Linked DNA regions of Rhinolophus ferrumequinum. The protein of the gene in region 1 binds, or shares a complex with, the protein of each later gene. Links are inferred from orthologs where the notes say so. Each region holds a gene or a part of one and is shown in the gene's direction. Other genes may lie near its edges.

Evidence for each region.
Region 2: the proteins of SCTR (region 1) and SCT are in contact, whole or in part, in a cryo-EM structure (PDB 6WZG), measured with the Homo sapiens proteins. The link is inferred for Rhinolophus ferrumequinum from reciprocal best matches to the Homo sapiens genes SCTR and SCT. Residues at the interface, in NP_002971.2 of Homo sapiens: Arg30, Leu31, Cys32, Leu35, Asp71, Asn72, Pro117, Val125, Val127, Asn128, Asp129, Asn132, Arg135, His136, Leu139, Leu140, Leu142, Lys143, Tyr146, Tyr150, Arg188, Asn192, Lys195, Leu199, Phe200, Ser202, Asp203, Val205, Met219, Phe222; in NP_068739.1 of Homo sapiens: His28, Ser29, Asp30, Gly31, Thr32, Phe33, Thr34, Ser35, Glu36, Leu37, Ser38, Arg39, Leu40, Arg41, Glu42, Arg45, Leu46, Gln47, Arg48, Leu49, Leu50, Leu53, Val54.

What each region holds. Positions count from the first base shown.
Region 1 is NC_046291.1:90,567,360-90,579,820, reverse strand, and holds the start of SCTR (secretin receptor), read left to right. Parts: upstream 1-6,266; 5' UTR 6,267-6,495; coding exon 6,496-6,564; intron 6,565-12,461.
Region 2 is NC_046294.1:370,856-381,698, reverse strand, and holds SCT (secretin), read left to right. Parts: upstream 1-7,655; 5' UTR 7,656-7,732; coding exon 7,733-7,812; intron 7,813-7,925; coding exon 7,926-8,027; intron 8,028-8,140; coding exon 8,141-8,245; intron 8,246-8,429; coding exon 8,430-8,550; 3' UTR 8,551-8,636; downstream 8,637-10,843. Other genes in the region: DRD4 (D(4) dopamine receptor), read right to left, coding at 365-817; CDHR5 (cadherin-related family member 5), read left to right, coding at 10,137-10,191, 10,283-10,458, 10,805-10,843. UniProt on the Homo sapiens protein: Hormone involved in different processes, such as regulation of the pH of the duodenal content, food intake and water homeostasis.

The sequences.
Region 1 (12,461 bases):
TGATCTGTGTTAACCATAATATTTAATAGAAATATTCAAAGGATGATGACAAACGGAGGAAGGAAATAAGAAAAGTAAAGGAAAAACTGCTTTAGAGAAAGCCAGCCCACGTTTCCAGAGTGTAAACAGTGAACCTGGACCATAAAAACTTCATTTAAATGTCAGTGTTATACCTTTGTACTTCAGTACTGAATAGGAAATCATGCTTGCCCCATTATTTATGGCTCATCAATAATACATTAGCTTGGTTCCCAGAAAAGCTCACATTCAGGAAAGGACAGAGCCTTTTGTTTGGTTTATTGAGCAGCTGAAGGGGCAGAGCAAGTTCATTTCATTGGTGGAGTCATTTGGTGAAGGCCTGAGACCCAGACACCCAGTGATAGCCAACTCCTCTCCTCCCCAATGCTCTCCTCTCCTCCCTCTCCAAACCAACCCCTTCAGCTCAAATATTACTTTCCTGGGAAGCCTTCCTTACGTGTATGTCAGTGCTCTTTCTGTTACAGGGGCAGAAATGGATTCAAAAGTGAAAAAAAAGTTTAAAACTTATCGTCTGTATGTCTATCTATCATCTATGGTGAGAGGCTTCAGTCACAGCTACATCTAGGTGACAGATGATGGTGTCAAGATTTTGTCTCTGCTCAGACAATAGTTTAGTGGTTACCAGAGGGTAAGGGGGGAGGAGGGGTGCTAGATGAGGATAAAGGGGCTCAACTATATGGTGATGGAAGGAGCACTGACTCTGGGTGGTGAACACACAATGTGATAGATAGGTGATGTAATACAGAATTGTACACTTGAACCCTATGTAATTTTACTAACCATTGTCACCCCAATAAATTTTAATTAAAAAAAAAGATTTTATCTCTGTTTCTTGGTTCTCTTCACTCCATGTTGGCTTCATTCTCAGACAGGATTTCTCAGTGCTATGGAAAGGCTGCCATGTTGCACCTAACTTGCGCATAGTGCCAACACATTGTTTCGTTGGTGCCATTCCTATTGGCCCAGCTTGAGTCATGTGCCCATCCCTGAACCAATCATGGTGATTATTGGTAGGGATGACTCTCCTCACCCAGGTCTGTGTCATGTGCTCACTCCTGGGCTGCTGTTGGTGAAAGCCCCACCCAAGCCATGTGGTCTGAGATTGGGGAAAGGCAAGGGGTACTTGTATCAGAAGAAGAGGGAATAAAGTCTGGCCTGACACAACCAACAAACGTTTATTAGGTTGAACCTTAAAAAAATGTCAATATTCAAATGTATGTTACCTAGAAAAATGGTGACTAATATGACTCAACCTAATACCCACCAGGTTTGGTCTGGCCCCTTGGTATATGCTCCCATAGCATTTATCAGGTTGCAATGTCATCCACCATACGTTCTGAAGTTGCTTACTCCAGCCAACCAATAGATTTGTTAAATATGTTGTTGTGAAAGCCTCTGAAGTCTTGTCTATCAGCCTCAGTCATCTTTCTGGGCCTCCTGGGAAGGGGTGCAATCTAGCCCCTTGGGTTTCAAGAATGGGGCTGAGGTTACCGAGGGCAATTTCCCCAGGCCCCTATCATTCTGGTTCACAGCACCTGGATTAGGTAGGTCCTCCATAAATATTCATTGAATGAATGTGCTTAATTAGTTTTCCAAGTGTTTATTGCTTTTGGAAAAATGCAAAAAAAAAAAAAAAATGACACGATTTCTTGGCGGAAAAGTAATTAAAAATAAAATGTACTGCCAACCAGATGAATCCTCTCCACAAAATGAAGGAACGAATGAATCAGTGTTATTATTGAATAAGCATTAAAGGAGACGATGATGCCCGTCACCAGCAAACCACAAGAGAGGTTGCAAAGACAAATAGAAATCGTAGCCTTTTACATAGCCAGGCAGATACAATCCATCATACACACATGCTAATTGCCTTTATTCAAAGGAAAAATAGAACTTCTCGTATCTTTTCCACAAGTGGGAAATTACAACGTGGAGCCAGGCACCTGGGCTAAACTCCCATAGTGACCGGGAGGCAGAGCACCATTTTCCTTGATGTTCACATTTCAAAGAGATGACTCCAAGGTCTTCATTCCTGGGATGCAAAATGGCAAGAGCCTTAATTAGCTTTTTAAAAGATTTACCTGCATCTCAAAGAGAAAGGGAAAAGATTTACAATGAGAAGTTTTTTAAAGAAAATGCAAAAAGAAAAGGAAGAAGAAAAAAGATCTCTTTCCTTTTTGGCACAGGGAAATGTTTAAATTTAATTTTTGAGGGGATTTGCAGGGGAAGAAAAATCCTTTTCCTTCTACCGTTCTACGTTCACTAGAAGGACGGTGGATGTTGGAAGGTGGAGGGTGTGTGTTGGAAATCCTTTCTCACAAAGAGAAAGAGACAGCTGAGGAACCTCTCAGATGCTTCAGCCCCAGACAGTTGAGTGAGCACATCTTGAGGTAACTCTGGTCTCAGCTGCCGTCTGACTGCAGCCATGTGAAAGACCCCAAGTGAGAACTGCCTGGCTGAGCCCAGTCAATCCCCAAAACTGTGAAATGACAATAAATAATTGCTGGTTTTCCATTGCTAGATTTGGGGGTAATGGGTATAAGAGTGATGGAAACAGCTCACCTGAGTTTCAGTACCAGCAATCCTACCGCCTAGCTGTATGACCTTGATTTAAAGCCTCATCAAGTCAGTTTCTACACCTGTTAAATGGCTTTAAAGATATTTCCACGTGGGATTATTCTTCTTTTGCCTCATTCTTCACAAATTAATTTTCTACCTTCTCCACCCAGGAGATTAAACTCTATGGACATTTCCTCCCCGCAGCCCTCATTTGTCTGCCTGTCTCTGGCTTTGGGTTGAGTTCAGCCAATGGAAGACGTTGCCAGGAGATCAGTGGACAGGAGACGAGAGAGGGCAGAGTATTTATCACAGTTTTGACAGTGGCTGCATTCCTCTATGGTTAAGTTCCTACGAGTGGCTTCTCTTTCAAGGATAGCTCTTGCCAGCTTCTGGGATCATTGTTTTCTGTCCTTACCCCTTGTTAAAGACAAAATTACTCTGACACTTGTTAAAAAACGATGAGGAAGACTTTATTCAAGACTGTTGCAATAGGGGAGAAAGAGATCAGACTCCACTTGGAATATGACAGGGACAAGTGGGGATTTATAGCCAAGGAGCAGGGTGAAGGGTGAGTGGATGGAAGATTGCAAAGAGGAGAGATGGAGGATTTGGAAAACCAACAGGATTTGGGGAGGGATGAGGAACTTGATCAGATATCAAGGGTGATAAGATCAGGAGTGGAGGCATTCTCCCAAAACTGATGGCAGAATCCTTGCCGGGACTGGGAGAGGCAGCCCAAAGACAGTCAGGGTCACAGTGGAGGCCTAATCAAGAAGAGAACTCCGAGGAGACTGACTGAAGTTTGCTCAGGGGAGACTCTGTCAGCCTTCCGGCCCATTGTTGCTAATCCCTACTGCCTCACCATCCCTTGTTGGTTCCCTTAACCCTGCCCACACTTCTGCACACAGTCCTTTCGTTAATCTGTCTTCAATTAAATCACACGGGCAACAGTTCCTCCCTCTCCTGCCAGCCCCTGACTGCTGGTCCTACCGACCCCATAGGCGGGTTTTGCGGATCAGATGAGATGATGTGTGCCAAAGAAGTGCGGAAGCCCCAGGTTTAGGAAGTCATCTTCACGGATGAGAGGAATCCTAGTACAGTGCAGAGGGCATGGGCATTGGGTTCAGTCCTGATTTCAAATTCTGCCCCTGCCCCTTCTTGGCTGTGTTGTTGGAGGGCAGTTCTTATCTTCTCCAAGCCTCAAGCTCCCAACCTATTAGTCAAGGAAAGTAATTCTCTCTCATGTAGTCTTGGAGGATCTAACAACACACTGCAAATTCCTACAAGACTCCTTCACACATGGCAGGTATTATATAATGTTGTTTGGTCCCTATCTTTTCCTCCCACCTCTGTTATAAAATTGTTTTCTCAAGTGGGGTTTACAAAGCCACTAACAGCACACATGGCTTGTAAAAGGGCTTCTCACAGAGTACTTCAGCCCCTTTTCTCAAATGCCTCCCATTTGAGGAAGAACGAATGGTTTGCCACAGGCCAGAAATTTATTGAATTGCCCAGAACAAATGTTGTTTTGCTTTTTCAGTGGATATCATGAGGTTCTGGTAGAGAACAGAGATTGCATTTTTATATTGTTTTCTTTTTATTTCTTTCCATCAAAAAAATAATATACAGTAGTTACAGAAAATATTCAAGCAACAGGAAATCTATACAGTAAAAATTGCAAGTCCTTAACTCAAAGACTTTCTGATGCACATTTAGGGGGTTGGAGTTTAATTGGGGACCAGCAAGTAACATTTTTCTTTCCAGTCTAAATCTTGAACCAATTGAGAAATAAGATTAAAACAGACATTTAAAAAATGTCACTTTTTTAAAAAAAATTTTATTGGGGAATACTGGGGAACAGTATGTTTTTCCAGTATCCATCAGCTCCAAGTCAAGTCGTTGATTTCAATCTAGTTGTGTTGGGCACAGCTCAGTGGTCCATGTGGGAATCGAACCGGCAACCTTGGTGTTATGAGCACTGCGCTCTCACCAACTGAGCCAACCGGCCGCCCCAATGTCCCTTTTATTAGTGATAATATTGGTCGTGGAGAATGTGGTTTATACTTGTGGGAAAGTGAGTTTTCTAATAGTGAACCTCAGAATTAGATAGGCCACCACCCTGTCACTGGTGATACTGGGTCAATACAGGCAGAGCCTTGACCACCAACGACAGCCTGGCCCAGGGCAACTCAGTCTCAGGCTCTCTGCAGGTGGGGGTGCTGGGAAAGGAGGGGGAGAGTTGGGGGGCAGAATCTCATGCCCGTCCTTATCCCAAATACATTAATCATGTAGAGCTCAGCACACGTGTGTGTTGCGGGGAGGGACATGGCTGAGGTGGGTAGAGAGAAGCCAGAAGTAGTATACTCATGGTTACTTTACACAAAAAGGTAACATCAAGCGTGGGGCTAAGTGTTCCCCTTCCATTACATTATCTCCCGTTTTCTGCTGCAACGAAGGTGCTTCCACAGACATCCTTGCGCATCTTTCATCGGGTCGTTGGGTAAGTATTTCTATTGCGAAAGTTCCTAAAAGTGAGTTGGTGGTTATGTAAACTTCAGATTGACATGTACTGAATATTGACTGCTGACCTGAGAGCAGAAAGCATTTCCCCCCCTTTTATTTCTGCGGTGATTTATGAATCTCACCTCGCCTCTTCAGGTAGGAAGGCTGCTGAGGACTACAGCATCTTACTTTAACAGCCGCTTAGCAATCTGACCAGAGGTCATTCACAGAGACTCAGAGCCAGCCGTGCAGTGCAGAGCCCGGCTCTCCCGTCTGACACGCTGAGTTGCGTGTGCCTGGATGGCTGATTGATCTTCCTCTACCCTCAAGGATCTCTTCTGTCAAACCAGTATATCACCTTCAGATTTTGGGGGAGTTTAATGAGCTGATGTATTTAAAATGCCTGGGGAAAGGTCAAGATAGAAGGAGAGGCAAGTGGAAAGGGAGTGGGCACCAGTGCAGAGGAAGAAAATAGTGAGTGTACAAAAGCCGTTTGAGGGTACCTTGTACCGAAAGGCCAAATGCCATCCTCCAGGAAATCTAAGCAGTCAGACTCAGCTTGAGCAGGCTACTGGGAATATCTGCCTAATGTTTAAACAGCCTCCAGCGAGGCCAGGAAGCATGAACCCTAAGGGCGAGTCAGCCCCGGGTGGACCAGATGGTCCTCCTTGGGCCACCTGATGGTGAAAGGCTTCCCGGGTGATGGTGCTCATGGAAGTGAAACTTTCCAGAATGAGCCAGCATAACTTTAATAGTGAAGAAAAATAAAGTGAAAACGAAATAAAGTGCAAGGTAACTGGCCCGCAGAATAGATGCAACAGGCATTGATAGAGCACCCGCTGTCACAGGGCACTACTAGCGCAATCTTCTTTCATCCCGAAGGCGGGTATTAGATGTATGTGAGGGATGAGAACACTGAGGTGCAAAAAGGTGACATGGGCTGTCCATCCGCGCGCAGCAAGGTTGTGACGGGGCTGAGTGCGCTTTCTGGACTTGGGGGTGTTGCAGCGTCGAAGGCTAAGCCAGCGTGCCCTCTCCTGGTCTCCTCGGCTCCCGGGCCCAGGCTGCGGGAGCCGGATCCAGGCCCCCGCGCCCTCCCTCCGCCTCCTCCCCTGCCAGCCTGCCCGCCAGTCCCCAGCCAGTCAGTCAGGCTGGGCGGAGGAGCGCAGGCAGCGCCGCGTCCTTATCAATGGGCCGGGCGGCATAGCGTGCGGCCACCTTTTCCGAGGAGGCGCAGTCCCGGGGTAGCCGCGGGTCGCCTGGCCCAATTATGGCTCCTCCCGGCGCGGCGGCGGGCCGGCATCTGGGACCCTGCGGGGGGCGCTGAGCTCCAGAGCCCGCGGTGAGCACGAGTGGGCGGCCGTCGGGGCTGCCGCCGGGAGCGCGCCGGGCACCATGCGCCCCTGCCTGCAGCCGCGGTCGCTGCGGCTGCTGCTGTTGCTGCTCGCCGGCGCGGCGCACACCGTGAGTACCGCGCCCCTCCGCGGGCAGAGGGACCCCTCCGGGTTCACACGGATTGGAGTGGCGGGGGACCCCCAGATCTTCCACTGAGGTGTGGGGATCCTTACCCCCTGTCCCCCGCTCCAATAATCTCTATCAGCTTCTCTCCAGAGGGCCTCCTGCCCTCAAAATAAATACGTGTGCGCCAGGCAAGGCAGCTCTGAGATGAATCCCCTGGCTTCCATCCCACCCCTTCCTCCAGGCTGCGACTGTAAGGCCCTCCTAGACGGAAATTCTCCAGCCGTCCTCGGCGGTGCCTACTGTGTGCTGGGCACTTTGCCTCCATTAATTCATTGAAACTTCATAATCTCTTTATAAGGTTGATGTTATCACCCTCACTTTACAGACAAGGAAACCGAGACTCAGAAAGACCAAAAATCTTGCCCCCCAAAAAGACAATTGGAACCCACATCCCTCTGCCCCAACGCCTTGACATTCACACACAGGGCCTGCAGGTGGGAAAACCTCAGAAAGCTCAGCCCGGAGCTTCCGGGGCGTGTGATGGGACCGTTTGCAGCTCCCTCCCCCTCCTCTTCTGTGGAATTTGGCTCCATAATGTCTGCATGCCCAGGAACTCCTGAGAGCCTCTGGTCTCCACAAACCAGCTCCAGGGAGAAGCTGGAAGAGAAAAGAGAAGGCGGTGGAGTCGATGGCCATGGCTTGTTTTTCTTTCCCACAAAAACTCCTGGGAATCTGCAGGCCTCTCCCTGTGGGATTTGTGAAGTGGCTGCACCCAGATGGGCTGGATGGAAGGAATGGGGATGGAGTGGGGGATGGAGAGTGGGTAGGTGTAGATTCCAGAACTACTCCTTTCTACCAACATTCCAAACTGGCTCCCTGAGTCTGTCCCAAAAAATTCCCCAGGGAAAGCTCTTGGGAACCCAATTTTGAGTCTCCAGTCTCTGTCCTGAACAAGTCCTTCCTGGTGTCCAGTGACCTTGCCCCCTGTAGTCCTCTTTTGCTTGATCCTAAGAAAAACCTCAGCTCCCGGAGCTGATGGGAGTGTTGGCACTCAGGAGGTGCCCATCTTTCTGGCAAGTCCATAACATTCCAGCAGCAGTAGTTTGGAAGAGTGGAATTTGGGGCTGTTGTTCCCAAATTCCCTTGTAACCTTGGAGCATCTTCTCCACAGTGCTGGTGAAGAAAGGTGCTAGAACAAAAGCACCCCCTCATTAGTCTGAACTCCTAATTTGGGGAAAAGCCACCGAGGCATTAGGGAAAAATCAAAACCAAATACAGCTTAGAGGTGTATTGTTATTCAGTGCCCAGGAATGGGAGAGGGGATAGTTCCTTCTTTGAGACCCTCCAGACTCCTTAAGTATTTGTAGTAACCCTGAGGTTGTCCAGAGAAATTAACAGGCAGTGGACTTCAGGACTGAGGCTCAGCCTGTATTTTAATCTCCCCCATGTTACCTCAGGAAGGAGCAGAGGGGAAAATAAGAAACTTTGCTTGGTTCAAGTCTTCGGTGTGTCTCAGGAGGTTGCTTTGTTATATGCTCTGGTCCGATTCCCTCATTTTACAGACGAGCAAACTGAGACCACAGGGAGACGGGACCTGCCCCATATGTGCAGGTTAGTGGTAGAGCTGGGATTAGAACCCAGATCTCTTGATTCCCAATGACCCAGAGCTCTGTTAATTACACCTGTTTTCTTTCTTTGCATGTCACTTTCATATACTCATGTACTGCCTTGTATTGTTGCAAGATAGTTTTCTGTGCATAAGGCTTGGTCCTCTGATTATTTTATGGGCTTAACCAGACTTGAGGTCTCATTTCTTGGCAGAGAACTCCTTTAATAAATAGGAGTGGAACTGACCTAATATGATTGGTGTTATTTCCCAGCCTATGAAACCCTGTTTTCCTTCTGTGTGACTGAGTGGTCAGACATTTGATTTTGAAATTTAAGGGTATTCAAACAACTGTTTATTCATTTGGGGCTCTCTTGAGGAAGATCACAGGCTTCTTCCTAATGAGGAGTCATTAAGGCCAAATTCTTCGTTACTACCCCCCACCCTCACTGCCTTTCCATACAAGGAGATGCCAGTGGGTACCTTGCAATTGGAAGCTAAAAAGTGATGATGGCTGATAGGGGCAGTCTTCTCAGATTGCCATAGGAAACCCTGATCACACCTCCCCTTGCTGCCCCATGCCCATGTATTGCATAAGCACTTTTACCAGGAAGAATATTGCGGTTATTCACCAGTACACCTGTCCTCCCCTCCTCCCCAGTACACACACTTCAAGCTTGGGCATTGAGACTTAGTCGCCTTCATCCTTAATCCCGGGAGCCCGTCACAGTATAAGAGGGAACGCATTGAGTATGTAGTGGTTGAATGAATGAATGAATGAATGAATGAGTGAAATGATGATGATATCCATAGCGACCGTCTTAAGCTGTGGCAATTTCATATAGCAACAAGTAGGGAAGCATGACATCTTGAAAGTAATAATTGCTTCAAAAATTGTGCATAAGTGTGTCAAGCAAAGGAAAATTAGTCATTCAAGGTAGGGCTTTTTAATCCAGGGCATCTGGCAAACTGCCAACTTGATAATCTTAGTGAGTTCAGTGGGATGTGTGGGGCTGCTTTCTCCTTCAATCGCTGCTTCTTAACTTTGACACTATAATCCTGGATATTACATCTGGGCTTTCAACAAGCGGTGCCAAGAAGAGAGCTATGCCCTCGCTTGGCATGGGAAGAAGTAATGGGGTGGGGATGATAGGGACAGAGTGCAGAGAGTGGAGATGGATAATTCTTTGTTGTATGTCCTGTGCATTGTATGATATCCAGTGGCATCCCTGGCCTCTACCCACTAGAAGCATCTCTCTAAGTCGTGACAACAGAAATGTCTTCGGACACTGTCAAATGTCCTCTGGGAAGCAAGGAGGGCAAAACTGCCCCTGGTTGAGAACCACTGCCTTAAGGTTGTCATGTTTCAGGGGAGATGCATTAACAGGGCTAATGATAGGTGTTAATTGCCTGCTGGATGCGGGGCAGTGGGGTTGGTGGCAGGGAATCTGAGTCGGAGGATGAAAGCAAGTGTACATGATGAAACATTTTCAAGCCACATAAAAAGACTTCTGTGGGGAATAACTTCCTTGATCTTTTTCACCCTCCCTCCTCACTTTACCCCTCCTTTCTCCATCCCTCCCCAGTTGACGGCTCAGAAACATAAGAACTCCAAGTATGGGGTCTGGTACACTGAAGCCTCCGGCACATGGTGGTCCCTGCCCCTTCCGGTGGTGCATCTGGATTCAGAGGCTGACAGGCTCTTTGGTGGCTCTGTGAGCAGAATTTTAGGAAGGCCTGCAAAATGTCATGTGAGGAGCTGGCTATTGATAATTCTTCAGAGGAGGGTCACTGGGATTTTTTTTATACCTGAAAAATCACTTTCTAATTTTCTGAGGAAGTACTTGTGGCTTTATCTTGAAAATTTTACCATCCCTAAAATTAATGGAAATGATGATTTTAAAGTTTCCCCTTATTGAGCACCTTCACACCAGAAAGTCTGCTAAGCCCTTCCCAGCACTGATTTAATTCTCACATCAACAATCAGTAGCCCTCATTGTGCAAATGAGGACACAGAAGCCATTTGCTCGGATCACCCAGGAGGACATGGTGGCATGATGATCCTAACCAAGGTCTTCTTAACCAGCACATGCATCTTTCCCATCGTGAGGCCTACTCTGGTTTCTGGTCCCCAAAGGGCTGTCATAAAATTCTCTCCCAAATCTCAAAATAACATTACTTTCAGTTTAACCTAATTGCTTTGTAAAACACAAAACAAATCTGATTGTTTATAAAACAACCACTGTAGTTTATTGATAAGCTTGGAGTCACAGAATCAAACAAACAGGAAGTACACTTCCCAGACTGTTTAAGGGAGTCCTTCCTCTTGGCTTTGGTGTTACCTTTTTGGTGTTCTCATTGAGCGTCCCTCTCTCCACCCGGTCCCCATTCTCCCCATCCCGTCGTTACTTCCCACGCTAAGGGAAGACATCGCTCTCTTCCGGGTGCTCCTGTTGAAAGCCCAGATTTAATATCCAGGGTTAGAGCTCCACCACTAGAGTGGCCCCATCCAGTGGCCCCTGATTTGGTCCCTGCTTCCTTGCCCTTAGCAAACAGGTTTCTCACCACTGACCTTCACTCAGGCTCTGGGATAACCTGCAACCCAAGGTAAAACCCACAACACCCAGATCCTATCAACTTGCTTACATTACAAACAGAGGGCTGTTCAGTGTACTTGTGGACAAGTGAGAATGTCCTGGGACCCACCCAGCCTCACCATTCTGTGTCTGACAGATTCCAAGGGGCATGTAGGGAAGAGACGTCCCTGGTTGATCGTCTCCTTGGTCTCAGCCCATCGTACTGCCAGGATTCCTGAGTTTTCCAGAGTCTTCTCCAGAATCCCTACATGTCCAACATCCGTTTTCTCACCCCTGACTCTCAGAGGCTCTCCCTGACGTGCACACGTCTTTTCAAATTCCTCACCTTACCACCTCCCCTTCATTTTCACCACGCGGGTTTGCCTCTCACTTCCTGAGAGTCAACACTACATGGATGAATTTCTTCTCACCAACATCTTATAGGTGTGTCTAAATGATGCCCTCTTGTTCTCTTCCTTCCTGTCTGCTCAGTTGTCTTGGGTTGCCATAACAAAACACCGCAGACTGAAACAACATCTATTTTCTCCCATTTCTGGAGAATAGAAGTCCAAGATTAAGGGCCAGCAGCGTTGGGTCCTAGTGAGAGCCCTCTTCCTGGCTTGCAGAGGCTGGTTGGTCCTCATGTGGCCTTTCCTCCGAACAGGTGCAGACAGAGAGGGAGTTCTCTGGTGTCTCTTCTTATAAGGATACTAATCCTATCAAATCAGGGCCCCACCCTTATGATCTCATTGAATCTTAAGTTAAATTACCACCTTACAGGCCCCTCTCCAAATACAGCTATTCTGGGGTTAGGGATTCAACATACAAGTTTTGGGAGACAGAAATATTCAGTCCATAATACCATCCAAGTAAAACAGAGGCTGTACTCCTACCTGAGGCCAGTCTCTATACCAGAGCTGCTCCAGCCACCACCATCCTTAATGACCTCTGAGATAACACAATGCAGCCTCTGTGCCCAACCTTCACCATATTTCTTTGGACTGGCTTTTTCCATCAGCTGATCAACTTGCCTAAGTCTGTCCAACCCAGGCGGTAAAGAGCTCTGGGCCCTTCTAGCCAGTTCTACCTCTGCCCCCTGATGGCCAGCTTCTTGGAAGAAGCATCCATGATCATCGCCCCCACGTCCGCTCATTTCTCAGCCCACTGCAACCTGGCTCCTTCCACACTGCCCATTGAAATCAGTCTCAGCAGTGGCCTTCATTTTGCCACATTCACTGCACACACTTCTGTCGTGGTCCTGCCTAGGGTGACCACGTGATTTATGAGAGAGATGAGACATTATGAATAATGACATTGAGACAGCAGGCATACACTCTGTCCGTCCTGGGCAAAGTGGGGCATGGGACCAGGCCTGTCGGAGATGTTCAATGCCAGGACACTCCCTTCTTTCTTCTCTCCCTTCCCTGGGCTTCTTTTTGTAGTCTCCTGGTTTCCATCCTGTGCCTCGTGCTGTTCCTCCTGGAGCTCCGTCTTCTGAGCCTGTAGGGATCACTCCCTAGGCTCTTCCTCTTTGGTCCTTCCTCTCCTCTGCTCTCTCTTACCATGTGTTCTCTCTTGGTAGTCCTACTTGTTATAAATTCAAGCTTCCCTAACCAAAACTCCCAAGCCTGTGTCTCTTTTCCTTGTTTTTCTTGTTCTTTAAACTATCAAGGCACCCAAACCGGACTCCTGGGAGCCACACTGCCCCGTGCCCTCAG
Region 2 (10,843 bases), on another chromosome or scaffold:
GAACCCAGCTGAGGGTGGTGGGTGGGTGGGTGGACTGCCAAAGTCGCCTGTTTGTGGGGTCCTTGGTTTGAAGGACAGAAACATCTCTTGGGTAGCAGACATTAAGGCAGGAAGGAAGAGAAGAGAGGGACAGGAGAGGGAGGGTGGACAGACAGACAGCAAGACTGGCAGATGGACAGAGATGGGGGAGGGGTAGGTTCAGAGCCTCCGGTCGTCCTGCTACCAGGTGCAGCGCCCCTGCAACCGCCCCAGCTTGAAACTCCAGAGAAGGCAAGCGGCCTGGTCACTCTGAGTCCTCGCGTGGACCGGGACAGGGGACAAAGGAGCAGGTGAGAGTGCACCAAGTGGTCATGGATGCACTCACCTCAGAGTAGACGAAGAGCGGCAGCACGAGCAGAGCTAGTAGGAGATCCGCGGCCGCTAGGCTCACGATGAAGTAGTTGGTGGGCGTCTGCAGGGCGCGCTCGGCCGCCACGCTCACGCACACGAGCGTGTTCCCCGCGAGCACAGCCCCGATGAGCAGTACGCCCCCCACGAGCGCCGCTGCTGCCCCAGGCCCCTCCAGTCCCGCCGGCTCCCCCGTGCCGCCGCCGGTGCCCGGCCCGCGTCCCGCCAGCAGCACGTCCGCGGCGCTGAGGTTCCCCATGGCTCTCGGGCTCCAAGCGCCCCAGAGGGAGCTCAGCACTGTGGACAGTGACCAGGTCGCGAATCCGGGAGCCCCGCCCCTCGGGTCCGCCCCAGCCTGGCCTTGAGCCTCGGGGTCCGCCCCGGCTCGGTGGGCCCTGGGAGCCCTAGGATGCACCCTGTATGTGCTCATGTTGGATTTAGCGCCGCGGGAGACGGGCGGATGGACAAATGCAACAGCTCAATGAGATGCGAATTAAGCGACGTGATTCGCACGGGCGGGCCCACCGCAGGGCTGGGGGCATGCGCGGGTCTGCGCCAGGGGAAGCCCACGAGATGAAAGGTCGGCGGGACCATACTCCGAGGCTTGCGCGCACCCACGCCAGCGCCGTCCCGTGCGGCCGCGGAGACCCCCGGGTCCCTACTTGCGCCCAAGTTGGGCTCCCTTCCCCAGGGACGCTTCTGGAGGCGCCTCAAGGCGGAGCCGGATCGGGTTCTCACTCCATTCCGTTCAAGCGGCGTCGGGAGAACATTCTTCTCTGGCTGGTTCCCCCAGGCGCGGGAAGACTGGAGCAGCCCCGGCTCCAACCGCAAGACCCTGGCGCTCAGGCGCCTCCCCCTGGCGATCCGCGGTGCGTGAGGCACAAGGTCCACACTCACCCTCCCTCGGACACCCCTCCGACCCAACCCTCTCTTCTACCCTGGCTCGTCTCCCCACAATGATTGCAGACCCGGACCCAGGGCCCTGCATCCCATTCCAGGAAGCTGACTCTCGTCTGGTTCGCGGGACCACCTTCAATCACCCACCATCACTGCCTCACCCTCCACCCTCCAGGCTGACAACGGAGTGGCCAACCCCACTCCATCACCTCGGAGCCTGTGACCCTGAGCAAGTGTGTGCCCCTCAGCCTGGGGTTACAGGCCTAGGAAATGGTGCCTACATCACAGCCACAGGTGAACTATCGCCAGCAAAGGCACGGGAGAAGACTCAGGGAGTTCGGCAGTGCCGTGGTCACCTGTTTCTTCACAGAGGAAAGAAAAGCCCCCAGTGAGAAACCTCTCACCCTGCACCCATCACAGCTACAAACTCACCTGCCCATCACCCCCCTCTGCCAATACAGGACTGTGGGAGCCTGGGAGGCTGGAGGGAGGGTCACAGGTCCACGCAGACAAGACTGTGTGGGAGCAGACCCATGGCTGTGCTGAGAGCCCAGCCCCGACTGTCCTCTGTCCGATCATAGACGTGCACAGAAAGAGCATCCAGGGAAAATGTGTTACAGCGAGAAGTCTCTATGGACTTCCTGAAATTGCCGTGACAGGCGGCCTGGAGCCCCATCATTAAAGGGGCCCTGAGTGTCGGTCCAGCTGAATGGCTCTGTGGGACCCTCTGGTTCGCGCACCTGAATAATGCTGGCTTCCTCAAACGAGATGGGAAGTGCTCCCTTCTCTCCTATTTTCCTTAGTAGATTTCATGAAATTGATATTAACTTTTCCTTAAATGTTGGAATAATTGGCCAGTGAAGCCATCTGGGCCTGGAGTTTGTTAGGTGGGTTTTGACGGTGATGTCACTTTTTTTTTTTTTAACACATCTATCTCTTTAACAGACTGTGTCTTCTGAGCGAATGTGGTAGTCTGTCTGCCAAAAATTTGGTCTATTTCATGTTAGTTTTCCAATTTATGGGCCTAGCGTTATTTATAAAGTTCCCTTATTATCTTTTTTATACCTACTGTAAGGTCGCTGATGACAACACCCCTTTCATCCCTTATATTATAAAAGAAACATTGTATGTTTCTTTTTTTCTTGGTCAGTCTTGCTAGAGGTTTATTAACTTGACTGATCTTTTCAAAGAAACAGCTTTTGTTTTCATGGATTTTTTCTATATTTTTTGTGTTTGTTTTCAGTTTCATCAATTTCTACTCTTTATTATTTCCTTCCTTCTGCTTGCTTTGTAATTAATTTGCCCTTTTTCTAATTTCTTAAGGCCACTCATTTGGGATAGTTCTTCTTTTCTAACATAATAAGCATTTAATGCTACCAATTTCCCTCTAAGACACATCCCACGCGTTTTTGTGTTTACAATTATGTTCCGGTTAAAATAATTCCTACTTTCCTTAGACTTCTGCTGTGACTCATGGATTACTTAAAACTATGTTATTTACTTTCCAAATGTTTGGAGATTTTCCTGTTATCTTTCTATTATTTATTTCTAGTTTGATCCTGTTATGGTGAGGAAAAAATGCTTTGTAGGACCTCAGTTCTTTTACATTCATTAAGGTTTATTTTATAACGCAGAATATAGTCTATTTTGATAAATGTTCCAGGCACACTCAAAAAGAATGTGTATTCTGCTGTTATTGCGTGGAAAGTTCTTTAAATATCAATTAGATCAGGGAGGTGCTGCTCAGATCAGATCTGTGTTCTTGCTAATTTTCTGTCTGTCTTGTTAGTTACAAAGAAAGGCATATTGAAATCTCCAAGTATAACTATAGGTTTTTCTACTTCTCCATCCAGTTCTATTTCTCCGTATCAGTTTTTGCCTCATGTATTTTTGATGATTTGTTGTAGGGTGCCTATACACTTAGAATTGAGGCCACAGGGGCTCGGAGTCAAGGGCTGAACACCAAGGGGCTTGAGGGAATTTGGGGGTGAGGGAACTGGCAGTTACAAAGACGAATACATTTTTCCAAGCTCATAGAGCTGCACATCAAAAAGAGAACTATAAATAATAAATTAAACTTCACAAAAGGGGCAAAGTTAGAATGTGTGTGATCCCAGGTTGCAAACAACAATTACAGCTCAGAAAGGATGGTGAAGCCGAGGCAGCTCCTCCTGGGAGAAGGATGTCCTAATCCTCCCAGAACCTCTGGTCAGTGAAAGGTGGGCTGTGTGACGGCTAAGGCTGTGCAGGGCCTGAGTGGCCACTCTGTCCCCCAGGGCCAGTGAGTATGTCTGTAACCCTCCAGAACAGACAGAAATCAGAGTTATGAGACCACCGTCACCCTGGTGGTGATGTTTGGGCAGGTGTCAGAGCTGGTTCTATCAACATTTCCGGCAGAGTTTTATGGGATGCTTGAAACATTTAAGAGAATGTCGTTTCATTTGGTGCACAAGACTTGTTCAAAGTTTAAGAATCTGTTCTTAATCAACAGAACAAGTAGATGGAGCATGAGCAAGGGTAGAGAAGAGTCTGAACAAACCATCAATAAGCAGGTGTGTTTGGCATTTATAGAGCACTCCATCCAACAGCCGAGGAATGCAGAGCTCCTCCAATAGATGTGAACCATTCACCAGGAGAGAGAGCATTCTGCCCCAGAAAAGGGAATGCAACACATTTGTAAAGAATGGAAATCATACAAACTAAGTTCTCTTGCCATAAAGATATAAAACTGGAGACCAAAAAAATAACAGGAAAATGTCCAAAAATTTGGAAAGTAAAAAACACAATTCTAAATAATCCATGGGTCAAAGGTGAAATCTCAAGAGAAATTAGAAAATATTTTGAGGAAAATGAGAACACATCATGTCTAAAGTTGTGGGATGGAGCTAAAGCAGAGCTCAGAGGAGAATTCATACCATTAAATTCGAAAATGAGAAATGTCTCAAGTCAACACAGGATACCAGTCAAGCACCTAAAGATGAAGAACTGCAGGGTCATACTGACTGGTGCAGAAGAACATCTGACGAAATTCAACACTGTGTATGATAAAAGTGTTCAAGCAAGAGATAGTCAGGAGGCTTCTAGACCTGATAAAGGGCATCTGCAAAACACCTACAGCAAACCTCCCAATTAATAATGAGAGACTGTGTGTGATCCACCTAAAATCAACACAAGACAAGTATGTCCACTCCCAACACGTTTATTGGGCATGGGACTACTGTTCTAGCCTGTGCAATCAGGCTAGGAAATCAGGTAAGGAAAAACATAAATAACAGACGTCCATATTGCATCGGAAGGAGTGAAACTGGCCTTATTCACAGAGGACACGGCTGTCTACGTAAAACCCCAAGGCAGCTACAGAAAGCTCGTAGGACCTGTAAGTCAGTTTAGTGAGGTTTCAGGGTACAGGTCAGCCCCCAGAGATCAGTCGGGTTCTATGTGCCAGCAACGAGCAGTGGGAAGCCCTCCTTCCACACCCCAGTGGAGAACTTAGAGTTGGTTCGAGTAACCTCAATTTGACATTTAAATCTTGGTGAACCCCCCCCCCAAAAAAAAATTGGACTAGAGAATATTTTCTGTGCTTTGCTTATTCAGAGAATTAAACTAATGAAACTATCAACTATCAAGATGAACTAAATTCTTAGCTGTGCATAAAATGTGTTCCTTCCTACATTCTATTCTGGAAATATGAAGCTTCTTATTCTTTCTTAGAATCCTGGACCCTGAAATTGGCTGTTATTAGTCCCCCTCCCCCACCCCCCCCACACATACACAGAATGATGCCCAATTTGAGGCTCTGAATAGCCATTCACGTAAGTTAGGACCCAGCTCAGGTTGACGTCTTGGGAACCCGTGGGGCCCTTGGTTAAGTCTGTGGGTTGAAAGTGGCATTCTGTCATTGTAGCTTGTGTCATATGTTGTCTCTAAGCAATGTCCCAACTGGGAAGGCAAGGTTTGGGCGCACTGCACTCCTTAGCTCACCTCTCTCCTGGTGCCAGTCGTCCATCAGGGTGCGGAGCAAATGGCTGTCTCGGTGGTGGCGCGTCACAACCCACCCTGGAAAACCCTTGGCACACCACCCCATCTGCCCAACACTTCAGCACGGCCACCATCTTAATAAGGAAGCCTCAGTGTGGCTCTGTGATGACGCAGGAGGAATCTGAGCAGCGGGGACAGTGGTGACAGCGCTTTCGGATGAGAGGAAGGCAGTTACAGAACCCTCTGTGACAGGAACACTAGGACACAGCCCATCTCTGCTTGGCTGCAGCCCTGCCTGGCTTCTTCCACTCAGAACTTGCCTCACTCTTGGTCTCTCCCTCTTGCTGGTGACTGCTTGTGACCACATGCAGTGTGACCCATCGCTCTGGCTGTGATGTGACCACAGAGGGGCAGCATGAGGGAGTTGTTTGCGGTGATGGAGTTGTCCTGTATCCCGATTATGGTGCTGTTTACACGGATCTGTACATCTGTCAAAATTCATTATTTTACTATATATTAACTTTACTGTATGTTAATTTTTAAAGCCCATTTTATTGCGTGTTAATCTTTTTTAAATGGGAAGATTTTTCTTACGAAGATCTGCCTGGTTACTTAAGTGTTTGAGGTGCTAAGAAATTCAACCAATTAAATTAGTATTTGGAGCTTGGAACATTCTCATGAATGCAATTCATCAGTCAATGGTATTAAAGTTTAGAACATTTCAATTTGCCAAGTTTGTGCAAGAACAAGTCACACCATCTGTTTAAAAACACATGCAAAGAATCATCAGCGAGGGAGCACAGCACACCTACCAGACGGACCACAACCCAGAGCCCCAGTGACACTGAGTGCTGGCTGGGAGGACGTGGGGCCACAGGAATTCCCACCACGGCTGGTGGGGGGTGTGTGTGCAGATGGTGCAGCCACTTTGGAGGACAGGGTGGCAGTTTCTTACAAAACCAAACACACTCTTATCATGTGATCCAGCAATCGTGTTTCTTCGTATTTACCCAAATAAGTTGAAAGTCACGTCCCCACTAAAACCTGCACACAGAGGTTTGTAACAGCCTTACTCAAATTGCCAAATCTGGAAGCAACCAGGACGTCCTTCAGTAGGTGATGGATGAATAAACTGTGGGACATCCAGACAATGGAATCGAATTCAGTGTTAAAGAGAAATGAGCTCTGAAGCCAGAGAGGACATGGAGGAAACTAAGTGAAAGAAGCCAGCCTGAAAAAGCCACATGCTGTGTGATTCCTGAGGTAGGACATTCTGGAAAAGGCAGAACTATGGAGACCGTAAAGATCAGTGGTCGTCACAGGTTGGGGAGGAAGGAGAGATGAACAGACGGAGCACAGAGGTTCTTAGGGCGGTGGGACTAATCTGTGTGAGATTGATTGTGGGTACATGTCACTGTACATCCTGTCCAAACCCCCAGAATGTACACCACCAACAGTGAGTCCTGATGTCAATTATGGACTTAGGTAATAACAATGTATCAATACCGGGTCATCAACTGTAACAACTGTAACAAATGCAGAACACCAATGCAAGATGCTGGGACGAGGGGAGGCTGGGTGTGTTTGTGCTGGGGGAACTATTGCAGCTCAATTTTTCTGTAAACCTAAAACTGCTCTAAAAAAGTCTACTAATTATATTTAAAATGCACGTAAAGTTTAACACAAGAACTAGTTTATAACTTCATTGACTAGATTTGTGATTTCTATTTAAGGATTTAATGCACACAGGAGTTTAAGAAGCCTAGCTTTACTTAATCCCTTATTGATTACGCAGCAGGAACCCAGCTGCCTCCCCTTTCCTCCCCTTTCCGCGTCTCCACCTCCTACCGCCCCTGAAACAGGCTCAGGTCTCCCCCGTCTCGAAAAACAAATGGCGAGGCCCCCAGGCTCGGATCTGCGCCCTGCCTGCAGCTCCCCTCCGCGCCGCCCCCCCACGGGGAGTGGCAGTGAGGTCACCGGTCCGCGCTCGGCCTTCCCTGACGCCGCCCCCTGCCCAGCCGCGCGCACCGTGTGCCGGGGCCTCTCCAGAGGAGCCCGCGGCCTCGGGTCGCCTCGCGCTCTGTCCCAGCCTTGACCCTCCTGAGCTCATCTCCGAGGCCCCCGGCCCCAGGCTCTGCACAGACGTTCCCGCCGCGCATCCGCGCCACCGCCCCGCCCGGACGTCCCTCCTCCCGCCCCGGCCCCCGCGTGCCCGCAAGTCCACGTCCGGCTGAGCCCCGCCAGCCCGCCGAGGGGCGCCGACGCGGCGCTGGGGGCGGGCGACCAGCCGGGTTGACAGCTGGGGGGGCGGCCCTGACCTTCCCGCGGATCGATGGGGGAGCGGCCCGGGCTGCGTGGAGCCAGGGCGGTGCTGACGCCCCCGCCCCCCGCCCCCCGCCGGGCGCCGCTATAAAGGGTGGCGCGCAGCTCTGGCCGCGGCCGCAGCGCTTAACACCCCGGCGCGCCCACCATGGCCCCCCGGGCCCTGCTACTGCTGCTGCTGCTGTCTCCGCTGCTCCAAGGCTCTGCCGGGCGCCCCGCGCCCCCCAGGTGAGCCCAAGGTCCCGGGGCCCACACAGCCCCTTGGGCCCGCCTACCGGCCCTGCGTCCGCCCCACCCTTGCTTGGCCCTGATCCGCTGCGGCGCCGTCACCCCCTCCTCAGGGCCCCGCGACACTCGGACGGGACGTTCACGAGCGAGCTCAGCCGTCTGCGGGAGAGCGCGCGGCTGCAGCGCCTGCTCCAGGGACTGGTCGGGAAGCGCAGGTGAGGTCGGGCCTGGGGCCCCCCTGAGGGGCAGGCCCCGCATGGGGCTGTCCCTCACGCAGCAGTCTCCACCCCCAATTCCACGACTAATTCTGATTTGGGGCGGGGGGCAGCGAGCAGGACGCGGAGAACAGCACATCCTGGACTGGGTCTGCCACCGAGCCTGCCGAGGTCCCCCTCTGCCTGCTGTGGTCCCATTCTCCTGCCCTGCAGGCCTGGTGAGCCCGCCCCCCTCACCAGAGCTCCGCCCCGACCGTCCCTCTGGTCCCCTGGGGCACCCCGTGTCAGCAGTGGGCCAGGGGTGGGGAGAGTTAGCGCTGGTGACCCAAGGAGGCCGGTTCACCAGGTGGGCAGGGGTCTCCACCTTCAGGCCCACAGCCCCTAACCCAGCTGTCTCTGCAGGATGATGGCCCTGAGGGACCCCCTGAATCAGGCCTGGTCTCCCCGGCTGTCTCTTGGACTCAAGTCTGGGGTCATGGTTTCAGAGCCGGCCATCCCTGCTGAGACCCAGATGACGTCCTGAGGAAGAAGGAACCTCCCCTCTTCTGACGGGGGCGCGAACCTGGATGGGGCAGGGTTGGTGGGAAGGAGGGGGTTGCACTTGGCACCAATAAAGAAGGAATTCAGACCCTGGCCTGGCGAGCGCGCTGTGTGCACCGTCTCTGCCTGCGCTGGGAGACAGCCTGCTGGGCAGAGCTCACAGGGGAGGAGGTCCTGCCCGGGAGCCCAGCAGGGGCCACGCCCAGCTGCCCTTTAAACCAGAGAAGACAGTGGGCGCCTCACCTTCCCCTTTCCTTATCTCTGGCATCAGGGCCACTTCCTGTCCCATCGACTGCACTCCCCAGGGCCCCGCCCGCACCCCTTGTCATCCACTCAGCAAACATTCAGGGACTCTGAGGGGCGGCTCAGGACGTTCCCCAGTTCCTGCCCCAGCTGCCATGTGCTAGGTGTGTGGAGCAGGTGGGGGGAATTTTAAGGGGGGTGACGAGGCTCAGGCTGGGCAGGAAGAGGTGACAGGCAGTGGGGCTGTGTGTGTAGGGGGTTACCAGGAGGCTATGAGTCCACTCTGGAAGCCAGGCGTCTGGGCTCTCTGTCCAGGGTTGTGGTCTTGGACAAGCGGCTCAACCATGCTGAGCCTGTGGAGCAGGGACAGTAATGACACCCCAAGAAGTGCTGGGGGTGCAGGAGGCCGGTTAGGCACATGGCAGGCAGAATTGCTGTCACCAGCAGAGAGAACAGGGAGAAGAAGCAGGTGCAAGGATCTGAAGGGGAGAAGGGCCGCCCCACTGTCACCCAGCCCCTTCCCTCCCTCCTGGACTTACCGAGTGGCCTCTCCCTAGCCGCTGGGAGCCTCTCCAGAATCAGCCTGCTGTCGGGCACCAGAGCTCCCGGGGACCCGAGGTGCCCCTGAAGCGCTGCCATTTCCATCACTGTGCCCCTGCGCAGCCCCACCAGGAGGGAGCTGGCTGATTTCCAGGACAGGCAGGTGTGTCCCCAGAATACAGCCTTTTCCTTCCAGATTTAGATGGTCAGTGTGGGAGAGGAGACGGGACTGGAGGGGAACCTGAGGTCCGAACCACGGGGCTGCCTAGGACTTTGCCCCAACAGCATTCTGGCGGAAGAACCCAGCAGAGGCATCTGGGGTGGGGACAGCATAGCAGACAGAAGCCAAAGGCCAGCCCCTTCCCTGTCCTCAATCCCCCAATCCTAGATTCCCTGAGTCCCTAGCCCCCTGCCCCCAGCTCTTGCTCAGCCCCTCTCTTCGGCCCCCCGCGGGCACCCCCACACCCCCCACCCCACCCAGGCCCATGTGTCCTGAGCATTCTGTGAGCTCCTTTCCACCTCATGTCTTCGTGACTGTGGGTTGAGCCCCCGTTGGCACCTGCATGTGGCCCGGCTCCTGCCAGGTAACCACAAGGCCTCCCCCTCCTAGGCCTGGCATGGGCTCGGCCCGCGGGAGCCCCCCAGGTGGAGGCCAATCGTAAAGGATCATAAAGTGGGCGGTGCCGGGCAGGGGTAAAGGTCGTCCCGGCAGAGACTGCCACCAGCACAGGCTACTCAGAGGGTCCCGGTCGCCAGCCGGGCTTAGACTCTCCCGCTGGCCCCAAGATGGGGTCTTGGGTCCTGCTGCTGCCGCTGCTCACAGCCGTAGCCCAGGCCCAGGGTACATGCGGGCTTGGCCGGGGCGCGCGGAGGGAGAGGGGGGCGGGCGGCAGGCAGGGGTTGAAAGGCACTGACCCTTCTCTACTTTCCAGTTTGCTCTGTGGACAATACCTTCTTTGAAGTCCAGGAGAATACGGAGCCTAGTGGGCCCTTGGTGGACATCAATGTCCCTGAGGGCCAGCGCGTGACCCTCGGACCCTCATCCACCCCCTTCGCATTTCGGATCGAGGGCACCCAGCTCTTTCTCAATGTGACTCCTGACTATGAGGTACAAACGGCAGACCAGGGAGGGGTGGGCCGGTGGGGTGCCTGGGGCCGCCAACCCCTGTGGGACCCATGCAGAGAAGGGTTTTTGGGAGTCCTGAAGGCTCTCTGTCCCCCAGGTAGTGACCAACCCCTGTTGGGCCCCAAGGCTTGGTTGAAAGCAAACGCGAGGGGCCAGGGCCCTTGGAGGACAAAGCTGCCTGGGTCCCCAGTGCGCTCTGGACTTAGCAAAGATGACGGGGACCTTGGGCGAGTATCTGCCCCTCTGGCGCTGTGCCCTCCCCTGAGGGATGAGAACAGTGTGCTGTGACCAGCTGCACAGGTGCGCTGACACCTCTCCGCCCCCACAGGAGAACACAATACTGCAGGCACACCTGGAATGCAGAAGG